Caenorhabditis elegans: one gene and its partner. The protein of the gene in region 1 interacts with the protein of each later gene in a pairwise test. Each region holds a gene or a part of one and is shown on either strand. Other genes may lie near its edges.

What was found. Proteins that work in one complex are often made in the same cells at the same time.
Region 2: the proteins of ddl-1 (region 1) and hsf-1 interact in binary tests that used the Caenorhabditis elegans proteins (3 or more experiments, as listed by UniProt).

What each region holds. Positions count from the first base shown.
Region 1 is NC_003280.10:5,646,659-5,649,814, reverse strand, and holds ddl-1 (WASH complex subunit homolog 3), read left to right. Parts: upstream 1-1,930; 5' UTR 1,931-1,940; coding exon 1,941-1,985; intron 1,986-2,034; coding exon 2,035-2,400; intron 2,401-2,450; coding exon 2,451-2,609; 3' UTR 2,610-2,656; downstream 2,657-3,156. Other genes in the region: putative serine/threonine-protein kinase zyg-1, read right to left, coding at 9-41; F59E12.17 (Anaphase-promoting complex subunit 13), read left to right, coding at 374-457, 531-686; sam-4 (BLOC-1-related complex subunit 5), read left to right, coding at 741-1,033, 1,080-1,287, 1,406-1,627; F59E12.9 (TFIIS central domain-containing protein), read left to right, coding at 2,778-2,867, 2,915-2,987, 3,035-3,156. UniProt on the Caenorhabditis elegans protein: Acts as a component of the WASH core complex that functions as a nucleation-promoting factor (NPF) at the surface of endosomes, where it recruits and activates the Arp2/3 complex to induce actin polymerization, playing a key role in the fission of tubules that serve as transport intermediates during endosome sorting.
Region 2 is NC_003279.8:11,958,243-11,964,677, reverse strand, and holds the start of hsf-1 (Heat shock transcription factor hsf-1), read left to right. Parts: upstream 1-2,693; 5' UTR 2,694-2,715; coding exon 2,716-2,943; intron 2,944-4,541; coding exon 4,542-4,761; intron 4,762-5,433; coding exon 5,434-5,567; intron 5,568-5,777; coding exon 5,778-5,911; intron 5,912-6,307; coding exon 6,308-6,435. UniProt on the Caenorhabditis elegans protein: Functions as a stress-inducible and DNA-binding transcription factor, playing a central role in the transcriptional activation of the heat shock response (HSR), leading to the expression of a large class of molecular chaperones, heat shock proteins (HSPs), that protect cells from cellular insult damage.

The DNA of each region.
Region 1 (3,156 bases):
ATACCTACACTCAATCTTGAACCACTCTTCCCACCGCTCATCTCATAGTTGATCAACACTTGGTGCGCTAAAAATAAGATGAAAAAACACAAAAAATAGGAAAAATAAATTTGGAGTTTGAAAAATCCGTTTTGGCGGCCGAGGGACTAGAATTCATATTTCGGTCGTCTGTCAGTAGAGCGCAACTGTTCAGTTATCGGTTTTCTCTGCGTCTCTCGTTTCGTAATGTGTTCAAACTCAACGCGCTCTCCAGGTCTGCACAATTTTTCTTTTTATTCCTTTTTGGAGTTTTCCATTTATTTTAAACGTTTCCGATTAAAAATACATAAAATTATTGATTACAGGATAAGGAAACTTCGGAGAAAGCCATCGTATGTCGTTCGTCCCATCAGAAGTTCGACTTGATCACACATTTTTAGAGTGGGACAAAGAGTGGATATTCCAGCGTCTGCCAAAGGTTTGTGACAAGCTTTTCGAATAATTAAAGTGTAAAACCCGTAAGTATTGAAATTAAAATTATTCATTTTTAGACCGAGATTCAAATTCCGCGCGAGTTTGAGCCAGATATCGAAACCGACGCAATTCCCACCATTGCTCGTCAGCCCGCCGACCCAAACACTACCTGGAACGAGACTGGTTTGGATCAAATTCAAATGGGACCAACCATCAATAGTACAAAAAATTAAATCAAGGTTTGTGAAAGTTGATGTAATTTTTTAACTTCTTACACAAATTTTCAGATGGGAAACGAACAAAGCTCGTCAACAGCGGGCACATCATCTAATCCTCAAAATCAACAGTCGTCTTTTTCATTTCTCACTCGAGCCAGTACTAAACGATCAAAAGGCATTATCACGGTCAAAGATGGCAATATTCCTCAAGAAAAACTCGAAGATGATGAAATTTACAAAAGATTCACCGAAATTCCCCGTTTTTTGCCGGTGATTCCAGCCGTAATAGGCAAACGAGATCCACAAACGAATCAAGGAGCTTCTTACACTCATCAAAAAATCAGTTCGCGGCCCTTTTTTCGGTAAGATTTATTCCTTTTATTCAAAGTTTTAAAGTCACATATTCAGACTAGCAACACGATTACAAGAACATTTTGCCGTTAATGCGAAAGCAGTGGCAGCAGATCAAGCTAAAATTCCAGCAACTTGCAAGAGTGTTGAAGCGAAAATGATCAGACTTATTGAAGAAACAAGAGCTCATAAAGAACAACATGACGGTTTTATGGCTGCATTGAGCGGACTTAATCAATTGCACGATGACATCTGTAGTATTCAGGTGCGAATTAGAAAAAGAAACAATATTTAATGCATCATACCAAAATTGATTTTTAAAATGTTGCACCTTACATTTTTGCTCAAAAAACTTGCTCCGTTTATCAAAAATTAATTTTCAGATAATTCTTGAAGATATTGTGCCAATGGTTGAAACGCTTAATGAAATTCTAACTCCCGACGAACGTCTTCCTCCTCTTAATCTTGGCTCAGTGCTCGACAGATCTCCCGTTCCAAGCAGTGATAGCTCACTTCAAAGTACGCCCCGCCATAATCAAAATATTGGTCATATTGATCAAATTGAGCCGATTGAAGAAATCCGCGTAGTTGATCTACCAAAATAATTAATTTGTAAATTTTTATTCTCTTCTTGAATCTGTTGCCCTATCGCCCTTCCCAAAAAGTCTTGAAGGCTTTATCTCACTTTCTTCTCGCAATATCAAAATTCCATTGCCGTTTTGTGATTTTTTATTTAGTTCATGCACATATTTATCCGTCAATCCTATTTTGATTTCTAAATTTATCATAAATTCTAGTATTTTTCGCAAATTAATCTAATTAATTTACTTTGAATCTAACTTATATGGTTTGTGCCTTTTTCATATTTCCATTTCTTGTAATTAATTGCATCATTAATTAATTTTTAGATCACCAGCAATGAATGCGAGCTCCAGAACCAAACCTGCAATCGATTTGAACAAGGTAATATCTTAAAATCTCATCATAAAACTTTAAAGCTAAATTTTTTAAGGTTCCTCCGATCGATCATCACCGTACAGCAGTAACATTCAACTGTCTCATCATGAAAATGACAGAAATGCTCAATAATTTCGGAAATAAAATGGAAGACATTTTGGAAAAGGCAGAGCAGAGTTTAGACACTGCCGATCGAAAGTTACGCTTGATGGAATCGAAATTGGCAGGAATGAGTTTGGAGGATAAATCAACCACCGCCACACCATCATCAGCACCAGAAATAGACGAAATTCACGAATCGAATCCCAGCTCTTCACAAATCGTGGAGGAAACAGTGGAAGAGAAACCAGAAGAACATACTACGACGGTTCTTATCAAAGACGACCCGGCTTATAGTAAATATTTCAAAATGCTGAAATTGGTGAGTTTATCCACTTGAAATTGCTTTAATAATACTGTAATTTTTTTTAGGGAGTGCTTGAAGCTGGTGTAATACAGAAAATGAAATCCGAAGGCGTCGACCCATCAATTTTGAAACGCGGTGATGAACCATCTCGTCCACAGGCACAGACTTCACGGAATTATGAATCTTCTGGAGAATCTACGGCATCCTTCTCTGACTCTGATTAATTTATTTTTTGTATATTTTTACGGGTTCATAAAATGTATAAAACATTATTTTTTAATTTTCGGAATATGATGTACTACACTGTTAACTCGTTTTAACGATTATGATATACTTCTATTCATTTTTTTAAAATTGATATAATATACATACTAATTTCCCTTTCAGACAAAATGAAATCACATTCAAATGTAACTACGCCACAAGCAGAACTTGTGAGCCCAGCCATGGGTGAACTACTCAAAAATGCCATCATGAAATCTGTAAGTTATTAAATTAATATCACATGGAAACTTTATTTGAAATTTAGGCTCCTGTCGCTCTTGCACTTATGAAAGGTGAACGTCCTGGGAAGAAAAAGAAAAATAAAAGGGAAAAACAAGGTGAGCGACCGTTCGAATAAATGATTAGACTATCGGCAGTTTTTCAGAAGATGACGTGGAAGTTACACCAAAGTCGAAAGAGAAACGTCGGAAAAGCGAGAAGAAGGAAAAACCTCCAATTTTGAATTATTTGGACGATTCAGATTCTGATTCGGCAGATTTTTCATCA
Region 2 (6,435 bases), on another chromosome or scaffold:
AACTAAAATCTACAATTTTTAACGGGGTTCAGTTTGAAAAATGTACTAAAAATGCGTTTTCTCGGAAAAAATCTGGTTTTCATCGATTTTCGTGCTAAAAGATGATGTTTTTCGAAAAGTTTCACAGAAAATTGCCTAAATTTCTGAATTTTCGGAGTAATTGTCCAAAATTCTCATTAAAGCTTCTCAAAAAAACCGTAAATGGGATAAATTAGACTGAAATGACCAATTTTGCCTACGGAATTCTATTTTGATTTAAAAAAAAACGACTTATATGGGCATGTAATTGATTAAAAATTAAATTCGGCTCTTTTTCCGATATATTTAGTGAGTTTTTTGCTAGAAATTCGGTATTTTCAAGCAAATTTTTGTTGATGTCCACTAATTCCAAGAAATAAATTCAAAAGTTTCAAAAAAAAAGCTAAACTTAGCTAAAATCTCTGATTTTTATCTCTGGTTTACGTATTTTTGTCGTTTTCTCCGCGGTAAAAATGGGAAACCCTAAAATTAATGGCAAAAGTATTTAAAAATGCGCAAATTTGTGCTAAAAAATGGTCTTTTTTTTAAGTCTCACATAAATTGCCTAAATTTCTGATTTTTTGGAATAAATGTCCAAATTTCAATTAATGCTATTCAAAAATATCTTAAAATGAAATAAATTGAACTTTAAACACCAATTTTGAGATTTCGGGCCTTTTTAGATTTTGTGTGCCTTTGGATCGCGATAAAACAAAAAAAAAACGAACAATTTTTTGCTTTAAATGATAGAAAATAAACCCTAATAACCGAATATAACTGCAAAAAAATTTTTAAAAATTTTCTAAATTTTTTAATGATTTTTTCAATTTTTCAAAAATCAAATAAATGAGCGAATTAAATTTGAATTCCCGCGCAAATGGCGCGAATTTACAGTTTTTTCTTGATTTTTTCTTTTAAATTTGATTTAAGACAACATTTTTCAATTTATCAGACACTTTTCCGTGAAGAAAACTTGATTTATGCATTTTTTCCGGAAAAATGTATGTATTGGTATGTATTAATACATACAAGAAATGGTATGTATTAAATCAAATTTAAAAGAAAAACTGTGAATTTAGCCATTTGCGTGGGTATTCAATTTTTAAAAATTTGAAAAAATCATAAAAAATTTAGAAAATTTTTAAACAGTTATATTCGGTTATTAGGGTCTATTTTCTTTCATTTATAGCAAAAAAATCGAAAAATTCCGAATTTTTGTGAATTTTTATCCAGAAATTCGATATTTTAATTCAAATTCCAAGGAATAAATGCAAATTGCTGATTAATTCCCGAATAAATAATCAATGATCACATCCAGCCTATCATAAAAGTGTAATGTGTCCCCAGCTGTCCCCAGATGCCCCATCAAAATGGATTCCGAATTATTCAATGTACTATCAAATGCATTGGACAGAGAGCTCATCCTCGGAGCTCCTCCTCTCCCGGCTCCACTGATCTCAAGAAACATATCGAAGAGAGAGTGTAGAGATCCCAGAGAGAGCACACCAATTGCACTTGGGCTCCGCGAGCAGAGAGAGAGAGTTTCTCCGGAAATCCTTTCAACCCACACACAGAGAGAGACTCCAGAGCACCTCTGTTCACTAGCCATCCCTCCTACAATTATCCCAATATTTCACACATTTTGTGGCAATTTTTTGGGTTTTATTCCCGATCTAGAGTATTTCTAGTATTTAAGACATGTATCAAACAAATTTCAAGCCGAGGTACGTAGATTTCTATCCGAAATACTTGGTTTTTACTAAGAAAAGTTTCTCAAAAAACGGAAAAATGACCGGAAATTTGAATTTTTATCGAAAAAAAAATTTGAAAATTGTCGATTTTTGGTCTTTGGTAGCTTATCTGGGAACAGTTGCTCACTTGATTTTCAAACTTTCGTTCAAAGTTGATTGTTGACAGCGTTTGCAACAAATCAAGTATTTGGCTGTAATATTTTGGCACATTGGGAATTTTGAAAAAAATTTGCCGCTTCGAAACTGATTACCGCATTTTTGGCCCGAAAATCGCAAACTTTTGCGTCTAAAATCGGCAAACTGTCGGAATTGAAATTTTCGACAAGTTGCCGGTATTGCCGAATTTGCCGGAAAAAACGGCAAAATTTCCGGCAAATCATCAAAATTGACAATGCCGGCAAATCGGCAAGTTTCCGGAATTGAAATTTCCGGAAAATCAGCAAATTGCCAGAAAATCGGCACATTGCCGGAATCAAAATTTCCGGCAAATCACCGGTATTGCCGAGTTTGCCGAAAAACGGCAAATTACCGGTATTGCCGAGTTTGCCGAAAAAACGGAAACTTTCCGGAATCGAAATTTCCGGCAAATTACCTCTATTGCCGAGTTTGCCGGTAAATCGTCAAATTGCCAGAATTAAAATTTCCGGCAAATCAGCAGATTACCGGAATTGAAATTGAAACAGAAAAATTCTAAAAATTGCCTTAAAATGTGTCTAGAACAGCGAAAAACATCCAAAAACGTGCGAAATTTGGTTGGAAAAATCGATTTTTCTAATGAACTGGCCAGTTTTTGGTATAAAAAACCGGATTTTAAACTGAAAAAGGCGATTTTTGACCTCAAAAACGAATAAAATCCCGATTTTCTTCTGTTTTCCCTCACTTTTTCCATCCAAAAACCCTAATATTTTAATATAATAATTTCAGATACCGCGTGCTAGTTCGTAAAATGCAGCCAACAGGGAATCAAATACAACAAAACCAGCAACAACAGCAACAACTGATAATGCGTGTTCCGAAACAAGAAGTTTCAGTTTCTGGAGCAGCACGTCGTTATGTTCAACAGGCTCCACCGAATCGACCACCACGGCAGAATCATCAAAATGGGGCAATTGGTGGCAAAAAGTCATCGGTTACTATACAAGAAGTTCCGAATAATGCGTATTTGGAGACCTTGGTAGGGAAAAACCGCAAAAAAATGGCTGAAATTTGAAGAAAATAGCCCAAAAATTGAAGGAATTAGCTCGAAAGCCCCTTCTTACGCACTTAAAATTTGTTTTTGAGCGAAAAATTTTAATTATTTGTTGAAAAACCTCAGAAAATGCCTGAAAATTCATGCAAATTACCCTAAAAATGGCTAAAATTCGCTCAAAAACTCATTTTTGCTTTCTTTTTGTACATTTTGCGAAAAAATTCAATTTTTGTGTAAGCAAATCGCCTAAATTGCTCATTTTTTACACAAAAACGTACTGAAAATTCATCAAAAATGACGAAAATTAGCTTAAAATCATAATTTGAAGTAATTTCTATTGAAAATTGAGTTTTACGCCAAAAATTCCGAATTTTTGCTGAAAACCCCCCAAAAAATGGCGAAAAATTAGCTCAAAAGCCTAATTTTTGCTCAGTTTGAGCGAAAAAAAGTACTGAAAACCCCAAAATTCGGTCTAGAACTTCCTGAAAATTCTGAAATTTGGCTGAAAATCTTAATTTTTAGCAATTTCTATTAAAATTTGATTTTTGCCCGAAAAATTCTAAAATTGGGCACAAAAGCCCCCGTTTTTGCCCATTTTGAGCGAAAATTTCAATTTTTTGTTGGGAAATTGCAAAAATTGCTCATTTTTCGATGAAAACTTTCTGAAAAGCTCAAATTTCCGCCTGAAAATTCCTCAAAAATGGCGAAATTCAGCTGATTTATCACGCATATTGTACAGTGCGTGCAACTTCTATAGCGCCCCCTATTTTTTTCGTGTTCCGTCACTTTCCCTAACTTTTTTGAGAAAACCATTATAGCCATTCGATTTCAAATGTCAAAAAACCCCCTGTCCGAAATTTTCATGAAAAAATATCAAAGACTACGGTAATTAGGTCAAAAAGTCTGAAAAACGACCGTGGAACTTCTATAGCGCTCCCTCCAATTTTCGCTATTTTTCAATAAAATACCGAGTTTTATGAGATTTCTGAAAAGGATATAGTATTATATATTGAGAAAAATGATCATAAGGCCTCATTTTTCAAAACTAATTACCGTAGTCTTTGATATTTTTTCATGAAAATTTCGGACAGGGGGTTTTTTGACATTTGAAATCGAATGGCTATAATGGTTTTCTCAAAAAAGTTAGGGAAAGTGACGGAACACGAAAAAAATAGGGGGCGCTATAGAAGTTGCACGCACTGTATTAAAATCTACGTGAATCAGCAAAAAATCCCTGAAATTAGTTGAAAAAGTCGATTTTTCAGCTGATTTTTCTAGTGAATTAGCTAAAATTTTCTAGAAAATTGATGATTTTTAGAAGAATTCTTCCGCAGAAAATTTCAAATTTAGCGGCAAAATTCTGAAAATTGCCGAAAAAAAAAAACCAATTTCACTGAAAATGTACCTAAAACAGCGAAAAAACATCAAAAAATTTGCGAAATTAGTTGAAAAAATTGAAATTTTTGAGAAAATCAATATTATCTCACTCTAAATTTATCGAAAAAATCAATTTTCGCCGGATTTTTCTAGTGAATTGGCTCAAATTTTTCAAAAATTCAGTAGTAAAACGTATTTTTTTACAGAACAAATCCGGAAACAACAAAGTTGACGACGACAAGCTTCCAGTATTTCTGATAAAATTGTGGAATATCGTAGAAGATCCAAATCTTCAATCAATTGTTCATTGGGATGATTCTGGTGCAAGCTTTCATATTTCTGATCCATATTTATTTGGGAGAAATGTTTTGCCGCATTTTTTCAAGCATAACAATATGAATAGCATGGTCAGACAGTTGAATATGTGTAAGTTTCCGAGAAAAAACGGAAAAAAATTCATAAAAAAACTGAACTTTTTAAAATTTTTCACAAAAATCTGACGTAATTAGTTTAGAAAATATCGAAAAATGAATATTTCTGGGAAAAATATCATGAAAATTGACATTTTTGCTGATACTTTCAATTTTTCAGCAAAACTTAACGTAATTAATTTTAAAAAATCCGAAAAATTAATATTTCTGTAAAAAATTGAGATTTCCCTATACAAACCCAAGAAATTACAACTTTTTGGTGTTCTTTTCAATTTTTCCACCAAAACTTAACGTTATTAATTCAAAAAGTATCGAAAAATGGGTTTTTTCTGTTAAAAAAAAGCATACAAATTGTGTTTTTTTTTTGCAGAAATATCCATTTTTTAAAAATGTTTTTGGAATTAAATAAGTCAAATTTTGGTGGAAACATTTAAAAATATCACCAAAAAGTTGTAATTTCTGGGGTTTTTATGGGAAAATTTTTAATTTGTATGAATTTTTACACGGAGATACCCATTTTTCGATATTTTTGAAATTAATTACATTGAAACTTGCTGAAAAGGTTAAAAATATCATTAAAAAGTTGTAAATGTGAGGCATTTTTTTCAACAAAAATACAAATTTTTGCACATTTCGAATTTAATTTTTAAATTTAAATTTATTTCAGACGGCTTCCGAAAGATGACTCCACTGTCCCAAGGTGGTCTAACTCGAACAGAATCAGATCAGGATCATTTAGAGTTTAGTCATCCGTGTTTTGTACAAGGACGTCCCGAATTACTATCACAGATTAAGAGAAAGGTACAGGAAGCGGCAGAAGCTCAGATTTTTCAAATTTCTATCATTTTTTCATCTGCAGATATTGCAAAAATTCACTGGTTTTTGCTTAAAATTTGAGTACTTTTTGCGAAATTTCGCTTTTTCTACACTAAATTTGCGAAAAAGTAGAATAAAGATGATAATTTTTGAAAAAAATTCCAAACTTTTAAATTTTAACTTATTTTTTTGCAGCAATCGGCAAGAACTGTGGAGGACAAGCAGGTTAACGAACAGACGCAACAAAATTTGGAAGTAGTAATGGCAGAGATGCGTGCGATGCGAGAAAAGGCAAAGAATATGGAGGATAAGATGAATAAGCTTACAAAGTTCGTGGAAATTTAAGAAATGGAGAAAAAAAGAGCAATTTCGTCCGGAATTTCAGTTTGAAAACTGAGTAATCGGCTTATTCCACCCTAAAATGATTGAAAAAAGCTCAAAAATCGTCCGAAAAGTGGAAAATTGAGCGAAAAAAAACGATTTTTCTTTGTAAATCCCATAAAAGTGCAAAAAAAACACACACTTTTGTTTGGATTTTTCAATTCAAATGGAATATATTCTGTTCTGAAAATTCTGAAAAGCACCTTTTTGACACGAAAATTGCTCAAAATTTTGCGGTTTTCGAGCGACTTGCATCGAATTTTTGCCAATTAAACAATTTTTTGTTAAATATAAAATATTTGAGACGAAAGGAACAATTTTATATAATAATTCCATTTTTGCAGAGAAAATCGCGATATGTGGACACAAATGGGCTCAATGCGTCAACAACATGCTCGCCAACAGCAATATTTCAAAAAACTTTTGCATTTTCTCGTCTCTGTCATGCAGCCAGGATTGTCGAAGCGTGTCG